Macaca mulatta: one gene and its partner. The protein of the gene in region 2 binds, or shares a complex with, the protein of the main gene of each other region. Links are inferred from orthologs where the notes say so. Each region holds a gene or a part of one and is shown on either strand. Other genes may lie near its edges. The genes, in order: ALKAL1 and LTK.

Region 1 (10,145 bases), on a different chromosome or scaffold from region 2:
ATGGGCAGGAAGAGGCGATGGAGGGCTGGAACACAGATGAAGCTGGCAGAGGATATCGGATTTTGCCCTGTGAGCTGTATTAACCATGAATTTTTATTTTCTGTATTTCCAATGCTTTGACATCTTGGGGACTTGCTGACCCTGGAGAGAATGCCCCTCCTAGGGTAGCTTTCCTAGAGAGAGTAAACTCACAGAGACAGGACACAGGTTTAGGTAGGAAAGGGTCAAGATCGAGATTCTGTAGCTGAGATAGTCAGCAGATAATTCATATATAAATTTAAAGGGGACAAGGTAAAGAAACAGTGCAAGCTCACCTTTCATTTACAAAGCAGCCAATGCAAAACCCACACCTTCACCACTTCGTCTACTGGGCTCTCTAACTCTGGGCCAACATTCCTCCACCCTAATCACTCCAGGGCCAGGTACCCGATGACTAGCAGCAGCCTTTAGTGCCAGAGCCCACTGAAATCATTCACACCAGCCAACCCTAAGCCCGCTTACCCTGCCATGCCTTGGCTTTCCTGGGGAAATCACAGTACAACCTCTTGCCCACTTTTTCCCCATTCCTCCTTCCTCATGACCCGCCCTGGTGCTTCCCCTGTGGCCTTGTGTGGTTCGCTGTGCTCCTGTCTTTAGGGACACATGAAGACAAACTTCTTCCTTTATGATAGTCATTTCCAGGCGTCTGTGTCTCACTATCTCTGATTAAAACAATTCCCAGGTATATTTTAAAACAAGCATGGTGGTCGATCCTGCATGGAATGGTGATCTAGTCATATATACTTTATATACGCTGGAAATGATGCAAAAATTGGCTACAAGAAAGCTTTTATCTCTCCTCCTAATCTTCCATAACAATTTTAAACTAACTTTTTCTAAATATAGCGTGTTGTTTCCTAGATGAGGCAATGAAATTCTTTATGCAGCAAGAGTTTTGCAGTATATTTCAAAATACCTTATTATGAATGTTTTTGAAATGTGTAATTACTACCTGATTACCATATGTTAAAGATTTTACCAAAGTAATGTAAAATATTGGATTAGACAGTAAAACAGAAAAAGCATTTATAAGAAATATTTTTCTTAAGAATGGAATATATGTGGGTTTAGAAGACTGGATGGATAAAACTCTCAACAGGAATGATACAGTAATACAACTGAACCAAAATTTAATTCATCAACAAACGAGATAAGCAGGTTTATTGCTCATTGTCCACATAACCTAACCTATGTGTTACATTTCCTTTCTTTCTTGTGAAGTATCTTTTATTTTTGCTATATCTATAAAGAATTCTTTAAGGTGTGGCTATTTTAACATTTCATCAATTAATACAGTAGTAATGAGAAATTATTTAAAGTAGTAATTAATTTTTATTCTTTTGACTTAAAGTTCAGAGTATGACCCCTGCCCTACTTTGTTTTTAAATCTATTAGAGACTTTATTTTCAAATCTGTTAGAAATCACAAAAGATAGTTATAAGAAAAAGTTACACAAACAGTATTCCAAACTCAATGTGTAACTTGTTGTTTTTCCTTTCTTAGCATCAGGCATATCTGCTGGCGATAGAAAATCTCCTATAAACAAATATAACCAAGCTCTGAAGCAGTCATGATGATATCCGTCTTTTCAGGTTCACCATGGCTGACGCCCGGGTGGTGCTTGGAGAGAGTAAGAAGCTGCCTGCCTGCAGCTCCTAGGCCAGGAGCCTGGTCAGGTGCTCCACATATCTCCCCTGTTGTTACATCTTCACGAGAAGCCTCATGATGGGGTCTTCCCTGTGGCGCAGACAAGGCACCTGGAACTCAGAGATCCACTCCTTCCCAATTCCACAGCAAGCCTGGAACCAGTGCTTTCTGTCTCATGGAAATGATCAATAGCCAATCTGATACTGTCGATAAACTTTTTACAAATCTATCAGCCAGAAATAATCACCTTTTGGGGTTTCAATTTTTTGGCGTTTTTGTTTTCCGGTTTTCTCACATGTAATCATTGCATAATAAAGATAAGACTTTTTTTAACAGTTGGCTTATATAATTTGCCTTATGTTTACAGAGAAAACAGAGCCTACCAAGTGTGAGTAGACACATACATAAGATGAGTAGTAATTACAGATTCTGTAGAAGTTAAGCAAAGTTGAAGACTCATATATTCAGATTGTAAAATATTAACAGAAGTATAAAATGTTGGCCGTGGTGGTAGCTCACGCCTGTAATTCTAGCACTCTGGAAGGCCAAGGACTGCAGATCATTTGAGGTCAGGAGTTTGAGACCAGCCTGTGCAATGTAGCAAAACCCATCTCTACTAAAAACACACAAAAAATTACTGGGTGTGGTGGCATGTGCCTGTAGTCCCAGCTACTTGTGAGGCTAAGTTGGGAGGTTGAGGCTGTAGTGAGCTGAGATCGAACCATTTCACTCCAGCCTGGGCAACCAGAGTGAGACTGTCTCAAAAAAAAAAAAAAGAAGAAGAAGAAGTATAAAATGTTCATAATGGGGCCTGATGCAGTGGCTCACTCCTGTAATCCCAGCACTTTGGGAGGCCGAGGCAGGTGGATCACTTGAGGTCAGGAGTTCAAGACAAGCCTGGCCAACATGGCAAAACCCTGTCTCTACTATATATATATATATAATGTATATATCTGCCTTTCTTTCCAAGGAAGCCAGGACCTTCTTGGAAAATCAAGAGAACTCACAGCAGATTTATGACTGGAAAGAGACCAGCCCCATGCTACTTATTAAGCACATTCATTTGTCATTGTCCAGCATAACCTCATCAAAACTCCTTCACATGCTCTCCTTAAGCTCCACATCAGCGAGGTTTTATATTAAAACAGCAACAGCAACCACAACAACACAAATCTGACCCCAGAAAGCCTGTAGAAATAAGGTAAACATGAAATACCTTGAAAAGGCAGCGGTAGCAAAGGAAACGTCACATACATCAATACTTGCTAACAGTCCCCTTACACTGCTACCTCTCACACCTCAAGCCAATTTCCTTTCTGTCAAAAACTCTGAACCTCCTCTCTACTCCCACCACGGCCCTGTTCTCAGCCTTCTGACTCTGTTTTTCTTTCAGTGGATGAGTGTTCTGATGTTTCTTTCCTTTGGCAGAGTTTGAGGTTTGGTCCCTTGTTTGTGCCATTCTGCTGGTGGCGCAGGGACCAAAGACAAAGGGAGGAGGGAAACAGGAATGAGAGAGCAGGAGTGAAGGTTACTGGGAATTCTTATCCCAACAGGACACACTGTCAGGGGCACTAATAGAATTGGAGATGATGTAGAAGGTCACCATAAAGCTCTCAAGAGGGTCTGAACTAGAGTGGTGGGAAGGACACTAAAAAGGAAGACCCAGATTCGAGAGACATCGGAGGCAGGAATTACGAACTGAATTGTGCTCCTCAAGCACAATTGTCAACAATGTTGCTCATCACAGCGACCACAGCTGTGTGTTAAATGGCTAAATGACGGGACGGATACATGCATGAACAAGTGGGCTGTGAGAAGGAAGGAGGACCAAGGACGGTGAATCAGGAGTGTTCCTGGGAACCTAACACATCTCCTCCAGTCCCCCACTCTCCACAATCCTCATAGCATGCTGTCTGGCCCCTCCTGCCTCAAGGTTTCCTAGTTACTACTCCCTCTCCCTGGAAATGATCCCCCCACCTCCAGCTCACATCTGCATTTAGGGAAGTTGCCAGGCCTACAGAAAAAGGCAGACAGCGCAACTGCAGGAGCAGCAAAGATTTCTGAACCTAGAACAGGTACATTAGGTCTGGGCGATGGTGCTTATTATGTCACTACAGAAATATGGAGCCATCATTCCAGGCACATCTGACAGGGATGAGAGTCCTTGACCTCCCGGACCTGCGAGACATTTTCCTCCTGAATGAACGATAACCCCTGCCACCTGCTGAGTGCGCCCCTTGAGAACATCCAGATAGGCCCTTGCCCTCTATATTCTCATGTCCTTGTTTGTCCCTGATCCATGTGCAAGTACTCCATTCACAGACTCAGATACAGATGTTATGAGCCACCCTTTTCTCCCCTTGTGAATGTAGTGTAGCAATCAAAAACTTACACAACTACAGTCACAGAAAGCAATGTCTTTGAGGGTGCCCACAGGGCACTTTCCGTCTGACTATATTGTTGTTTAAAACTTCAGATGGTTGCCACTTTTAACTTTTTTTTTTTTTTTTTTTTTTTTTTTTTTTTTTTTGAGACGGAGTCTCACTCTGTCGCCCAGGCTGGAGTGCAGTGACCGGATCTCAGCTCACTGCAAGCTCCGCCTCCCGGGTTCACGCCATTCTCCTGCCTCAGCCTCCCCAGTAGCTGGGACTACAGGCGCCCGCCACCTCGCCCGGCTAGTTTTTTGTATTTTTTAGTAGAGACGGGGTTTCACCGGGTTAGCCAGGATGGTCTCGATCTCCTGACCTTGTGATCCGCCCGTCTCGGCCTCCCAAAGTGCTGGGATTACAGGCTTGAGCCACCGCGCCCGGCCCACTTTTAACTTTTAATAAAATATTTTTGGCCAGGCACAGTGGCTCACGCCTGTAATTCCAGCACTTTGGGAGACCGAGGTGGGCAGATCACCTGAGGTCAGGAGTTTGAGACCAGCCTAGCGCAACATCGTGAAATCCCTTCTCTACTAAAACTACAAAAAAAGAAAAATAAAAATTAGCCGGGCGTGGTGGTGCACCTGTAATACTTGGGAGGCTGAGGCAGGAGAATGGTTTGAACCTGGGAGGCAGAGGTTGCAGTGAGCCCAGATCACACCACTGCACTCCAGCCTGGGTGACAAGAGCGAAACTCCATCTCAAAATAAATAAATAAATAAATAAATAAATAAATAAATAAATAAAATATTGTTTTATCCCTTGTAACTCACTTCGGTAAGTCTTCACTGTCTGAATCAAAGAGAAAAGATCTGTTGAATGAAACAGGTCTGAATGAATGTGTGCCCTCGACCTTTCTGTACTTTGAGAGCCTTTCTCCCAGATCTTTCACATTCCAAAGTCACATTTTATTCTCTGAGATAAATATTTCAGGCTAACAATAATTTTAAGTCGAAGTGCATGATCCGTGTGCACCATTGTTGCATGGCCGTGCTGCGGACACTGACCCTGTGCCTTCCCCCTCCTGAGGGCTCCCCAGTGGCCGGCTGGACTGAGAGGCTCTGCCGGGGTTGTCCACACACCAGCTGGGCAGCCCACCTCAGCTTCCCACCTTCTCCATCCCCTCCCCGGGGCAGGACACCCTGCTCACTCAGTGCAGGTGTGCACCAGCCCCTCCCTCCACACCCAAGTGTGCAGGAGAGCACAGACACTGCTGTCTGCTCCTCTGGGTGGCCTCCGCCCTCTGCATGGTGACAGACAGGAACTCGAAGAAAGTTTGTGGAGTGAATAAGTATATATTTATATCATAACTACTGTGGAAAAAAATGATACTAAGAAGCCGTTGTTTGCTTTCTTAGCCATGAAGCCTGAGGAGAAGGGATCAGGAGCTGTGCTCCCATGGCCAGCCACTGGCTGCGGGGCATCCCCAGGCCACCCTAGGCCCTCTCCTCTTCTCAAGCCTGATGGAGGCCACCAAATGTCCCTGCAGAGGGGCCCTTCTGTCCCAGTCTCGCCGGCAGCTTCACCTTGCTTTACTGTTGCTGGGTGTGAACAGAAACGTGTCAGGAGCTTCTCGCTTCTGTCCCCATCTTCCTTCCCTGCGTGTCCTGCCCTCCTCCCTTCAGCGCTGCCCAAATGCCCAGCCGCCCCCTCGGACCTCCTTTTCCAAGGCCTTTTCCGTTTTCCCTGCATTCACAAGAGCTCTTCTCTGCCCGTGGGTGTCTCATGACCCTCTAGAGCGTAACTTTTTCCTCTCTCATTCCTTCCACTCCCCTTGGGCACCTAAGTAGCAGGAACCCGACTTGTCCAAAGTTGATTTGGGAGCAGCCGGCTGCGTCTTGGGCCCTTCTAAAATGATCTAGGAAAGGTTCCAGTAACATAAGCTGCCGCCTGCTGAAACTGGCGCATCCTCAGCCACTCGCTGCGGCCAGCGTGAAGGGGAAGGGAACTGGGCATTCCTGGCACCGTCAGGTGTCTACGAACAGCAATCTTAGTTAATTCTCAAAACCCCGGAAAACCCAGAAATGAGGCGCTGACAGGGACCTAACCTGTCCACCACGCCTAGGCCGGTGGGACTGAAACCCATGTCTTTGGGCTGCTTTACCAGTTTATTTCCAAAAAGGCCTCCCACACCTGGGAGGGGACATAGAAGGCTGGTCCCATTGCCAGCCGGATTTCTTTACTTAACTCTCAACCGTGGTAAATCTAATACGCTTACGACCTCTTTCTGAGAGCTGGGAATCTGCAGAGATGCTCTGTTCTCTGCTGTACTAATCTCAAGCTTCCCAAAGCGAGTGCCTCACCCAGCTCCTAGGGGAATCCACGGAGCCCCAGGTGCAGGGCAAAGGATGGGGCGGGACGGGGACATCCTACCTGCGCTCCGGGAGCCGCTGGGAGTCCGGCCGGCCCCGGCCGCGGGGAGGAAAAGTAACGGCTTGGGCTCCTCATTCGTGACGTGCGCTCCCCTGCGCCCCCGCGGCCTCCCGTGGGCTCCGGGCGGGGACAAAGCCAGCGCCAGCAGGAGGAGTGCGGGCAGCGGGGCACCAGGCTTGAAGGGCCACATGTTCGCAAGCGGGCAGAAGAGAGTGGGAGGCTCGTGGAGGATCCTGACGCAGTTCCGGAGGGTGCGCAGCCCAAGAGATGGCCCCCTGGACCAGAGCGCGGCTACGCGGCCGGCCGCAGTCCTCACCGCGCGCCTGCCCTTGTCTGCGTCCCGGGGGTCGGCTGGAGCTGCACTGGGACTCGGCCCCCAGAGTGCCGAAGCCTAAGCGCTGCGGGGCGCGGGGCGGGAACGGGAGGCGGTGCCTGGGGCCACCCGGTCGTCCCCCAGGATGAGGGCGTGTCCCAGCGCGCGGGACCCTCGGAAGTCCGTGCAGCCTGCCCTGACGGACACCAATCTCGGACTCAGGGGTTCTCAGGGCTCCCTACGCAACGCCTGCCTTGGACCCGGACCCTAAGCTCGCTCTCTGGTCGGCATCCCTGGGAGGACCCAGAAAGGTACCCGCCGCGTCGCCCCGGCGGTTCTCCCTGGGCTCTGTCTCCCGCCACCCCCACTCCGCAAGCCTCGGCGCCCGTCACGGATTCCCCTAGTTGGCTGGGGTCAGTAGAACCCGCGGTGCCTAGGTCGGGACGGAAAAAAGCAGCGCCGAGATGCGGCCTGGATGAGCGGAGATCGCCGCGCCTTGGACGCAAAGGTGCCGGGTGCGCTCACCTGCCGAGCCCCTCCCTGCTCGCTCAGGAACCATGGCCACTCCGTCACGCCAGCCGCCCCTGCCCCAGCTCTGGAGGCCAGACCTGCCCTCCTGGGCGCAGCACCGCGTTCTCTTCCGCGTGGGGGAGAAGAGGGCGGAGGAGGTCTAGGGCTGGGCACCGGGGACACACGCCCAGCTTCCCTGGCCATCCTGCATGGAGTGGCTGGTTTCAGTTCTTCCCCAAGTGAAATCGCCAGGGTTGACCAGTGCGCCCAAGAAAGCAGCCGGCTGAATTTTTCTTCAAATTAGGGAACTCTTCTAAAGAGTTTTAGTGTTAACAACTTAAAAAATGAAATTAAGACCAGTCGTCCTGATTAAAATAAAGTGAGCATCTCTGATCAAACCGCGCTCTGTAAACTGCTGTTGTTTTAGTTATTTCAGCCGCCTGCTTTATTGCTTTATATTAAGCATATTGAAAAATGTTGAAATTGCTCTCTAATCAACTGACTACTAATTATCTCCTCATATGCAAAGTGCAAACAGGTGAACGGAAGAGAACAGGAATAACTAAGGAAACTGAGGCTCCATTACTCCTTAGACATTGACCAATGTTACATTACTCTACAAAAAAAAAAAAAAAATCTTGTCGGTCACAGATCCTGAAAAATGACCTCAACTCCTTCAAATCGTTTATCTAGGTTTGGCATGTCCGACATGCCCTAGAAATTGGGGAAACAAAGCAAGCTTTGCAGGAGCGCTGTGAAATCGTGCCTTTGGATGATGCTCTTTTGAGGAAGCTGTTACACGGGTGAAGACTGCTTCTTCCAATCGTTTCACTGTCAAGCTTGCATAGGAATATGGTATTTCCTAAGCAAACACAGCGGTGTAACAGAATGGCTTCCACCACCGAAGACCCAGAAGAGTCTTCCTAGAAAAACAGGTTAAGAGTCTGAAGGCCCTACTTAGGTGGAATAAACGCTTTCTCACAGCTCTACTTAAGCGAAATAAGAAAACATTAGAAGTTCACAGACATTGACAGGCAGTTCAAAAATAATTTTATTGGAAAATAAAAAAATAGGGACTAGTCTGGAAAACGATGGGGAAATGCAGTATGAAATAATGCTGGAGAAGAAGTGATACTGAAACCATGACAAATGGATTTTTTAATCAACCATCTATCAGGAGCAAATGACAGCAAAACCTGAAAGCTGAATTATTTCCCTCTTCCTATACGTTGAAAGCTAGAGGAAATAAACAAAGCAATGAAGTTTTCGAGACTGACAGCTTGGGGTCTACTTTCAGCGTCATTAGCCATAGGACCCTGAGCAAACCATTTAGTCTTCTCTCTAGCAAGGTTAGGAGGTTGAACTTCAGTGGTTCTCAGACTGTATATCATGTGAAAGAGAGGCTGTAAAAAAAATGCAGGTTCCCACACCCCTCGGGATGCAGTCCCCCAGAAGAATCCCGTAAATCTGCACCCAGAAGAATCCCGTAAATCCGCATTTTAAGGGACTCTGGGTAGTTCTGAAGCAAGTGGTCCTTTGAAACCCACCTTTATTCGTTCAACAAAAATGATGTGAATGCACACTGTGGAGCAGGCAGTGAAAACACAGCGGAGCCACCACAATGGGTAAAATACACGAAATCCTCATCTTTGTGGAGCATCTAGCTTCAGGGATCTAGTTTGCCAACACAATGCTTTTATTGTAAATAAACAGGTTGCCTATAGCTAAGTCACTCTTTGCTTTTGTTCTTTGTTCATTGCGTATCTTTGACTACTTTTCTAACTGCCCCAACTAAATGCTGCTTGCCCTGCCTCTTGCTAATTTGTTTAGAGGCAACTTGAAGTGTTCATGTCGACATGCCCTCAGTAACACTTGCTAATTTATTATTTAGTGTATAAGGAGGGGTTATCCGTGTAGAAACGGGTACTTAGTAACTAACGTTTAAAGTAATCCAAAGTTTTTTAAACTGTAACTGTTACAAGCTATTTTAAGCCTTGAAACTCAAGGCACTTATTTTCTTTACAACTTAGCTAATAAATTAAACAAGTGAAGTTTCTTTATTTAACACCAACAAACCCTATTAAACATTTCAAAATACAATCACATATTTAATATAATTGATTTTCTTAAACATTTTTAAAAACAGAAAAGTCACAAGTATTGAAAAAATCCATTGCTACATCTCCCCCAAAATATTGGTAATATTGATAATATAAACTTGAGGTTCTCTAGACAGAACTAACAGGATATATATATATATATATATAAACTTAATAAACTCCTACACATATATATAGGAGTTTATTAAGTATTAACTTACACAATCACAAGATCCCACAACAGGCTGTCTGCAAGTTTGAGCAACAAGGAGACCCAGTCCAAGTCTCAGAACTGAAGAACTTTGGAATCCGATGTCCGAGGGCAGGAAGCATCCAGTATGGGAGAAAGATGTAGGCTAGGAGGCTAGGCCAGTCTCACCTGTTCACATTTTTCTGCCTGCTTCATATTCGCTGGCAGCTGATTAGATGGCTCCCACTAGATTAAGGGTGGGTCTGCCTTCCCCAGCCCACTGACTCAAATGTTAATCTCTTTTGGCAACACCCTCATAGACACACCCAAGATCAATGTTTTATATACTTCAATCCAATCAAGTTGACACTCAGTATTAACCATCACAAGAATAAGATTATGACACAAACCCAGAGAGTCGATATACCCCTGAGGTAGGACAGTAAAGGTATATTGCTGGCCTTGCCAGATGAAGGAAAATTGCTTCTGGTGGGCCTTATGGATGGGAATGGAGAAAATGGCATTTGCCAAGTCAATGTCTGCATACT
Region 2 (9,495 bases):
TCCAGCCTAGGCGACAGAGCAAGACTCCATCTGGAAAAAAAAAAAAAAAAATTGGCCCTACTCTAGACCTACTTAGAATTTCCCTGCGGTAGGCCTGATAATCTGCAATTTTTAACAAGGGTGACCATCAGGTAATTCCGATGCTCACAACAGTTCAAACACCTCGACAGAGCATTTTCGTAACTTGCCCACGCGTTCTTCAGTGGCAGAGCTGGAGCGCAAACCGGGGGCTTCAGATGCTAAGTCCAGGCTCTTGACAGCTCATTGGAGACGCTGGAATCACCTTCACTGCGCCTGTATCAGCGCCCGCCACACAGGCGCACAATAAACCTTCCCAGAGTGAATGAATGAATGAATGACTCATCCAGCCCCAGCTGCTTCCGGTGGGTCGGGGGCGTGGTGAGACCCTGTTTCAGTGGGGGGAGGGCTATGCATTGCTGAGACACCGATTTGCAGACTTTGACCCTGTCGCTTTCAGAAAAGCCACTGGCAGAAGATCCGAACCATGGTCAATCTGCCGGTCATAAGCCCTTTCAAGAAGCGCTACGCCTGGGTGCAGCTGGCAGGGCACACAGGTGAGCCGCGGGGCGGGTGGGCAGGTGCCCGCGACGGGAAGGGGCTGAGCGGCGCTGACGGATGCAGGTCCACAGGGAGTTTTAAGGCGGCGGGCACCAGCGGGCTGATCCTGAAGCGCTGCTCGGAGCCGGAGCGCTACTGCCTGGCGAGGCTGATGGCTGACGCGCTGCGCGGCTGCGTGCCTGCCTTCCACGGCGTGGTGGAGCATGACGGCGAAAGCTACCTGCAGCTGCAGGACCTACTAGATGGCTTCGACGGGCCCTGTGTGCTCGACTGCAAAATGGGCGTCAGGTATGCGTGCCCTGCCAGGTTGGTTGGGGGATCAAGTGGGGGTCCGGGGCTGGGACAACTGCTTGAGGGGGTCCCGGGGCGAGAGCTCGAAGGGGTCTCCGTGTGCGCCCCCTTATGCCCTGGCCGCTGCCCGCGCCCGCATAGGACTTACCTAGAGGAGGAGCTGACCAAGGCCCGTGAGCGGCCCAAGCTACGGAAGGACATGTACAAGAAGATGCTGGCGGTGGACCCTGAAGCGCCCACTGAGGAGGAGCACGCGCAGCGCGCAGTCACCAAGCCACGCTACATGCAGTGGCGGGAAGGCATCAGCTCCAGCACCACGCTCGGCTTCCGCATCGAGGGCATCAAGGTGGGGCAGGCGCGCTTCGACTGGCACCGCCCCAGCCCCACTGCGCCCTGTCTTTCCCGATCTGTCGGTGCCCACCTCCTCCGCTCCCGCCCTGCCTGCCCCTCCGCCCTCTCCCACCGCCTCGCAGTCCCCTGCAACTGGGAGGTACCACTGCCCTAGGCTGTCCTCTTCCCCACTGGCGGGCCTGGGGCCCCTGACACTCCTGTCCCACCTCCAGAAAGCGGACGGTTCCTGCAGCACCGACTTCAAGACTACGCGAAGCCGGGAGCAGGTGCTTCGCGTCTTTGAAGAGTTTGTGCAAGGAGACGAGGAAGTGCTGGTGAGAGCGGGATCTCAACCCTGAGGTGTTAGGGAGCCTGAAACTAGGGACTGCCCCTGTCATCTGGCCCAGTGCCCTCAGCTGTGTCCCCACCGTGGCCTTCACCACACTGGGTCGCAACTGCTCTAGGCTCCTTCCCTTCTGGGCCACGCCGGGCGGCGTCCTGGGTCTTCCTCACAGCGGCATTTGCCAAGCCCAGCCTGGGTCCCGGCTCCTTATCGTTAGCAGGGGCTCACTTGGCGTTTAATTAACTTGCCCTCCTCTCCCACCCACCCTCTGCAGAGGCGGTATCTGAACCGCCTGCAGCAGATCCGGGACACCCTGGAGGTCTCTGAGTTCTTCAGGAGGCACGAGGTAAGCCGTGGCCGCCTGGGTGCCTGGCCGCGAGGGCTAGGGCGGGAACCCGGCGGGGGCGTCTCTGGGCAGGGCCGCGGCCTGACCATGCGGGGCTCGCAGGTGATCGGCAGCTCGCTCCTCTTTGTGCACGATCACTGCCATCGCGCCGGCGTGTGGCTCATCGACTTCGGCAAGACCACGCCCCTCCCCGATGGCCAGATCCTGGACCACCGGCGGCCCTGGGAGGAGGGCAATCGCGAGGACGGCTATTTGCTGGGGCTGGACAATCTCATTGGCATCCTGGCCAGCCTGGCTGAGAGATGAGGCTGGACTCCTGTCCCCGTGGGCCGCCGCCCTGACATGTGGACCTGCAGCTTTGTCCCCACCGTGCATGCCGGCTTGAGACTGGAGCCCCGCGGTGCAGGGCAGTTCACCGGGTCCGGCAGGGCCAGGTGCCAACCACTAAGGGGGGGCACTGCCAATGCCAGGGGTTTCGCCCACCCCGGGCCCCAGCGTTCCCAGAGCCAAATGACACTAACTTATAGGAGGGGAGGGGGCAAAGGGCTTCTTCCTCAGGCCAGCTTTTCTGAGGAGGCTCTGCTCTCTCCAGAGGGGCCAGACCGTGGATTTTATTTAGCAAGCCTAGACCTTCTGGTCTAACCTCTTACACTAGGTTGGACTCCCCTTCCTAATAAAACTCAAAGACAAGATGCAGCTTCCTGTGCCTCAGCCCTCCGCCCCTCCCTCCTCTGGTGCCCTCTTCCTGTATCCCTGGCATCCACTCAGATCGCTGGAAGATGAGAAGCGCTTTTTATTAGAAGCATCTGCAGGGTGGGGTTCTGCCCAGATGAAGGATGCTCATAGTAGGAGGGCAATCCAGTGCTCCCCATGGACACCTGGGGTGTGTGTAAGGTGGCCTCTGGCCCAAAGATCAAAAGCTGGAAGTGGCTGGGCCTTTCCCTGGGAGGCCTGGGCTGGTTTCCGGCATGGCAAGTGCAGTGCTGCCAGGCCAGCTCCGAGACAGGCCCAGATACAGAGCACAGACTGCAGGGAACAGGGGCCGCTGGCATAACAGGCCACCCAGGAGCCTGAGGAGTACAGGGAGGGACCCTCAGTGCCTCAGTCCTCACCCTCAGGGCTCCTTGGGGCTCAGGAGCGATAGGTGGGATTCCAGAGGTTCTGAGGTTGGAGGCCCCTGGATTTGAGGGGCTTGAGGCCAGAGGAAAGCCAGGGGCCAAGAGGGCTACCTCCCCAACTTTTCAACTTCCCTGGACTCAGTTCCTGGGGCTGTGGGGGTCTTAGGCACGCCAAAGATCTGTTCCCCAGCCCAGAAGCCCCTTCCTCCTCTGGGGTGGGCCCCAGCTCCATTGGCAGGGGTGAATTCAGCACATCAGGGTCCTGTAATGGAAGACTCGGGCAGCACCGGGCATAGAGTTTTCTGGCCCCGCCTCCTGACCCACAAGACCAGGATGTCAGATTAGGTCAGGGGCACACCTGAGTGCAGTACTGAAGACGCTCCAAGATGCTGGCAAAGCTGGGGCGGAGCTCAGGCTCGTGCTGCCAACACTGGGTCATGATGCGGTACCTGGGGAGAGGCAAGAGTTCATGCCCACCCATGGCTGTGAAGGACCTCCCTTCCCAGGCAGCACTCAACTCACACAGGCCCGGGGCAGCCCCTAGGAGGGTCCATCCGGCCCCCTGCAACCACGAAGTCCAGCACCTCCTGGTTGGTGCGCCCAGGATAGGGCATGTAGCCCAGTGAGAAGATCTCCCAGAGAAGCACCCCAAAAGACCTGCATCACAAGTGGGGGAACCAAGTGAGACGCGTCAGGTGCAGCCTCCCCTCACATGAGGTGGCTGGAAAGGACAGGATGAGCCTCAGGGGAGGGGAACAGAGGAGAAGGGGAAGGGTATTATCACCAGGAATCTGTCTTGGATGTGAAGATGCCCTCCAGGAAGGCCTCTGGGGGCATCCACTTGACTGGGAGCAAGGCCCGGTCCCCCCTGCGGTAATAACTGGCCCTACAGGAGGGAGGAGGTGAATGATGAGTTGTTTACCACCAAGGTGCAGGCAAAACCCCCTTGGAGCAAGAGCCTTCCCACCTCCCCAAGTTCCGCACCGGTAGATATCTCGTGCCATCCCGAAGTCCCCAATCTTGGCCACACGGCTGGGCCCAGTGCAGCTCAGCAGGCAGTTCCGCGCAGCAATATCCCTACAGAGTAGGCAAAAAAATCACTGCCAGAATTCAGAAGTTCTTGCTCTTCCTGATCTATTTCCTTAAAAGCTGTGTGGAAGGGCTGTTCCTTGGGGAGGGAGTGGGGATGGGGGTCCCCTGAGCCAGGACTGCTCCTAACCTGTGGATGAAGTGATTTTCCTCCAGGTAGTGGCAGCCCTGGGCTATGTCCTGGGCCAGTTGCAGCAGATCCCGCATGACCAGAGGTGATGGCTGGTCCTGGGTCAGGCAGAGGGACATCAGTCCATGCAGGTCTCAGACACATGGACAGGGTCTTTAGAGGGGCCTGGGGGGCTGAGACAAGGGTCTCACCAGGTGTGGACGACTGTGCCTCAGGAAACTCTTCATGTCCCCTCCAGACATCAGTTCCAGCAGAATGAGGCGAGGGGCGGCCCTGAGGCTGAGCCCCACACACCGCACAATGTTCTGATGGCTAAACTTGCTGAGTGGGGTGGTGGACATACCCCGTCACCAGCAGGGAGATGGAAACTATGTTCTAGGCTCCACAAAGCTGGAAAGGCCCTCTGTGTCCCCTGACTTGCTACCTCAGCCTCAGGGTGAAGAGAAGCTGCTCCTGAGCCTTCCCTTCCCGCCTTCCAGCCCTGCCCCTGGTCCCGCATGCACCTGATGATGAGTGCCTCCATGAGGAAATCCAGCTCATCCTGAGGAGAGCAGAGTTCTGGCAGGGTCTGGGGAGGAAAAGGGCACAGTTTCTGAGTTGCCCTGGACACAACGGGAGGGGGGTTAACCCTAGCTGTAGTCATTGTCCTTCCCTTCAGGGTGTTCCACTCTTCTACCCCCAGCCAGAAGTCCCAATCCTCTCACCTTGATAGCCACCTGCAGGGGACTGGAGTCCCCAGGAAGGCCAGTTACCAGTCCCTCATACACCTCCCCAAAGGCACCATGGCCCAGGGCTCTGCAGGAAGACAGGTTGGAAGGGAGTGGGCAGGCAGCCTGGAGAAGAGCCCTAGAGAGTCTAGTATCCCCTTTACCTCCCCTGCCCCTGCCATATGCCCAGCTGACCCTATACAGACTCTCTCCATACCATGGCATGTCCCCAAGTAGAAGCCCTGCAAGGGTGATGCTGACTGGCATAGAGCCAGGGCAAAAGAGAGGGCAGGTGCGGGTCAGAGTCAAGGTGAGAGTGCATGATGAGGACTTCCCTGGTGTCCCTGCAGATGCCCTGGGAGGGAGGCGATCCCTGGGCTCCAAGAGTCATATTCTCTCTCTTTTTTTTTTTTTAAGACAAAGTCTCGCTCTGTCACCCAGGCTGTAGTGCAATGGTGCAATTTTGGGTCACTACAACATCTGCCTCCCGGGTTCAAGTGATTCTCCTGCCTCAGCCTCCCGAGTAGCTGGGATTACAGGCACGTGCCACCACGCCTGGCTAATTTTTGTGTTTTTAGTGGAGACAGGGTTTCACTATGTTGGCCAGGCTGATCTCGAACTCATGACCTCAGGTGATCCGCCTGCCTTGGCCTCCCAAAGTGCTGAGATTACAGGCGTGAGATCATATTTTTTTTTATTGAGACAGAGTCTCACTCTGTCACCCTGGCTGGAGTGCAATGGTGTGATCTCGGCTCACCACGGCTCACCACAACCTCCGCCTCCCGGGTTAAGGCGACTCTCTTGCCTCAGCCTCCCACGTAGCTGGGATTATAGGCATGCACCACCCCGCCCAGATAATTTTGTATTTTTAGTAGAGATGGGGTTTCTCCATGTTGGTCAGGCTGGTCTCAAACCCCCGACCTCACGTGACCTGCCCGCCTCGACCTCCCAAAGTGCTGGGATTATAGGCGTGAGCCACCACGCCCAGCTGCGAGATCATATTCTAAGAACTGGGACGGAGAGGTGACTTTGAGCAAGTTCCTGGCCCTTCTGGAGCTTCTCCCGGCCTCCCTCTCCCGTACGCAAGGGATGTGGGCCAGATTGTTTCTGGGATTTGTAATTCACTACAGCAGGGAGAGAATCAGAGGTGGGGATTCAGACTGCACAGGTTCTCAGGAGGAGGCAGAAGACTCACCTGAGCAGAGTAACATTGGCTGGGGAAACCTCGGTGACACCTGGGGGCAGAGGCCAGGACTGGGCCGGGCCAAGCCCCACCTGGCAATAATAGGGATTGGGGGCCGTCCTGATGGCAGAGGTTCGAAGCTTGCTCAGCTCAAGCTCAGGGCTCGGCAGCCTCGTCTCCCGCAGGCCCTGCCACTTCTTCTGCTTCACTGGGGGTGGGGAGAATAACGGCACACCCTCCGCCTGCCCATCAGGTCTCCCTCCCCCACCTGCCCAGGACACCCCTCCAGGTGCTCCTTCTGGTAAACGTTTTCCCCAGGCCTCCCCAGCTCCCTCCTATCTTAGAGTCCCACAGGAGTCTACCACTGCTCTGCTGCGGTGAGTGGTCGTGAAGCCCACCCCAGCTCATTGGAGAGGAGCAGCCTTGAATCAGCTGTGCCTGCTAGATGCTTCGTACCCAGAATCAGGACCCCACACACCATAAAGAGGCTCAGTGTTGAGGTTGCCACCACAGCCACCATCAGAACCAGAGGGCCTGGGGGGTTGGGCAGGTCTAGGGAGAAAGAGAGACACCTCCAGTGGGAAGGTCTTCTCTGTTCCTCTACCCTCAAGTTTTACCCACGCTTCAAGACTCAGCTCAAGTGTTAATTTTTCCATGAAGCCTTCCCCCATTATCCTGGGCAAAAGCAACCTCTCCCTCTTGAACACCCCTAAGGCACTTTATACCTCCCACAACAATCGTCACTTGAGATATACATTTACATAGCTATATCTAAACAGCCTCCCACACTGGACGACATGCCTCTGAAAGGCACTGTGCACCCATGAATCTCCAGTCCCCTGCCCAGCACCCACCACAGGGCCTGGCACGCAGCAAATCTCTATACCATCTTTCCCAGTGGCCTACTGCTCCTCCCAGTCTGTGACCCCAGGAGTCCAGACCTTGGGCAAAGGTAGGACATACCCATGCAGGTGACGTTATCCACAGCTAGCTCCATGCCTTCTGGGCACAGGCACTCAGCCAACTGGAGCTCTGCCTGCCATTGGCAGTCTTTCAAAGGGCAGTGACTGCAGTTGAGGTGCCTTCGGATTTCTACCTCTCCGTGGTTCTCGGTGACTGTGAGTAAAAGAACTGATATGGTATGGTGTGGTGGGGCTGGGGCTGGGATATATTAAATACATGCCTTTGGCTGGGTATGGTGGCACACGCCTACAATCACTGCACTTTGGGAGGCCGAGGTGGGCGAATCACCAGAGGTCAGGAGTTCAAGACCAGCCTGGCCAACCCCGCCTCTGCTAAAAATACAAAAATTAGCCGGGTGTGGTGGCGCATGCCTGCAATCCCAGCTACTCCAGAGATTGAGGCTGCAGAATCACTTGAACCTGGGAGGCGGAGGTTGCAGTGACCCAAGCTCGCACCACTGCACTTCAGCCTGGGTGATAGAGTAAGACTCTGTCTCAAAAATAAAAATAAATAAATAAATAAATAAATACATGCCTTTTCCAGCCACATGGTTAATTCTTGTCCAGGACTTTAGAGCAAAGAGCAGCACCAAGCTTACAAGGGCGGTGAGAGAAGCTGGGGGACTTCTGTCAAGCCTGCACACTCCCAGGTATTTGAAGTGAATTCATAGCAAGGGGGTACTTGACAAGCACGCAGCATGCCCTGCATTGGCATCCAGCACAACTGACAGCCCACTTTTCTTTTTTTTAAGACAGAGTTTTGCTCTTATCGCCCAGGCTGGAGTGCAATGGCACGATGACAGCCCACTTTTCTTTCTTTTTTCTTTTTTTTTTTTTTTTGAGATGGAGTCTCGCTCTGTCGCCCAGGCTGGAGTGCAGTGGCTGGATCTCAGCTCACTGCAAGCTCCGCCTCCTGGGTTCACACCATTCTCCTGTCTCAGCCTCCTGAGTAGCTGGGACTACAGGCGCCCGCCACCTCGCCCGGCTAGTTTTTTTTGTATTTTTTAGTAGAGACGGGGTTTCACCGTGTTAGCCAGGATGGTCTCGATCTCCTGACCTCATGATCCGCCCGTCTCGGCCTCCCAAAGTGCTGGGATTACAGGCTTGCGCCACCGCGCCCGGCCGACAGCCCACTTTTCAAATGACCCTGTGCTATGCAAGAATCCTGTGCTATGAAAGGTTATTCACGGTGCAGATGGCTCTTCAGTGCAGTGCAGGAGTGGGTTCAGGGATTGAGGAAGAAGTCCAGGCCAGGCTGAGAGGTGGGGTTGGGGCCAATACCTGCCAGAGGCTGCAGATAGAGCTCGCTGCTGGGGTGTATGAAGGATACTCCATCTTCCCCATCAGCCCAGAGGTTGTCAGTCTCTGAAGCATCACCCCCTGGAAGTGGAGAGTGATGGAGGGTTTGACTGCAAAAATGGGGGATGGGGGAGAAGCTGGAATCTCCCAGTGGAAATCCCAGTGTGGCCTTCTCTTCTCCAGCATCATGATGCAAGTGCTGTCTGTTCACAAGTGGGAGTGAAGGAGGTGAGGAAGGGGTAATCAGCTGGAGACTGAAGGCCTAGCTCAGGCTGGCTGTGACGCTTGACGCCTCCTGCCTGCCTGAACCCCTCCTGTCCCATGTCCTCACAGTCCCTTTCTGTGGGAATATAGATGATGTGCGTACGTATGAACAGAACAGCCCGGACAGGCACAAAGGCATTTACACTAGTCATTTCCAGACTTGAGGACTGATCAAAACACAGATGACTGGGACTATCCCCTAGAGTTTCTGATTCAGTATGTTACAGAAGGGCTGAGAATTCACATTTCTTTTTAAAAATTAATTTTTAATGAAAAATAAAAATTCAGGGCCAGGTGCAGTGGCTCACGCCTGTAATCCCAGCACTTTGGGAGGCTGACAGGGGCGGATCATGAGGTCAGGAGACCAAGACCAGCCTGACCAACATGGTGAAACCCCATCTCTACTAAAAATACAAAAATTAGCCGGGCATGATGGTGCATGCCTGTAATCCCAGCTACTCAGGAGGTTGAGGCAGGAGAATTGCTTGAACCCAGGAGGCAGAGGTTGCAGTGAGCCAAGACTGTACCACTGCACTCCAGCCTGGGTGACAGAGCCAGACTCCGTCTCAAAAAAAAATTCATATATTTATTGTATACAACATGATGTTTTGAAATATGTAAACATTGTGCAATGGCTAATTCAAACCAATATATGCACTATCTCACATACTTATTTTCTGTGGTAAAAACACCTATAATCTACTCTCTTACCAATTTTCTTTTCCTTTTTTTTTTTGAGACAGAGTCTTGCTCTGTCACCCAGGCTAGAGTGCAGTGGTGCGATCTTGGCTCACTGCAACCTCCACCTCCCGGGCTCAAGTGAGTTTCCTGTCTCAGCCTCCCGAGTAGCTGGG

Evidence for each region.
Region 1: the proteins of LTK (region 2) and ALKAL1 are in contact, whole or in part, in a crystal structure (PDB 7NX0), measured with the Homo sapiens proteins. The link is inferred for Macaca mulatta from reciprocal best matches to the Homo sapiens genes LTK and ALKAL1. Residues at the interface, in NP_002335.2 of Homo sapiens: Tyr124, His140, Phe143, Ala250, Ser251, Pro252, Glu253, Leu359, Phe360, Leu361, Gln362, Leu364, Ala365, Val366, Glu368, Glu372, Glu374, Arg376; in NP_997296.1 of Homo sapiens: His93, Arg96, Leu97, Asn100, Thr101, Arg102, Glu103, Arg112, Arg115, Leu116, Arg119, Leu120, Ser123.

What each region holds. Positions count from the first base shown.
Region 1 is NC_133413.1:63,169,572-63,179,716, forward strand, and holds the start of ALKAL1 (ALK and LTK ligand 1 precursor), read right to left. Parts: upstream 6,676-10,145; coding exon 6,486-6,675; intron 1-6,485. UniProt on the Homo sapiens protein: Cytokine that acts as a physiological ligand for receptor tyrosine kinase LTK, leading to its activation. Monomeric ALKAL1 binds to LTK, leading to LTK homodimerization and activation.
Region 2 is NC_133412.1:18,860,573-18,870,067, forward strand, and holds the end of LTK (leukocyte tyrosine kinase receptor), read right to left. Parts: intron 8,459-9,495; coding exon 8,360-8,458; intron 7,233-8,359; coding exon 7,080-7,232; intron 6,669-7,079; coding exon 6,573-6,668; intron 6,325-6,572; coding exon 6,129-6,324; intron 5,022-6,128; coding exon 4,931-5,021; intron 4,795-4,930; coding exon 4,730-4,794; intron 4,548-4,729; coding exon 4,418-4,547; intron 4,325-4,417; coding exon 4,227-4,324; intron 4,085-4,226; coding exon 3,992-4,084; intron 3,894-3,991; coding exon 3,792-3,893; intron 3,665-3,791; coding exon 3,530-3,664; intron 3,457-3,529; coding exon 3,366-3,456; intron 3,270-3,365; coding exon 3,021-3,269; 3' UTR 2,663-3,020; downstream 1-2,662. Other genes in the region: ITPKA (inositol-trisphosphate 3-kinase A), read left to right, coding at 479-575, 651-867, 1,012-1,216, 1,434-1,535, 1,818-1,889, 1,992-2,195. UniProt on the Homo sapiens protein: Receptor with a tyrosine-protein kinase activity. Following activation by ALKAL1 or ALKAL2 ligands at the cell surface, transduces an extracellular signal into an intracellular response.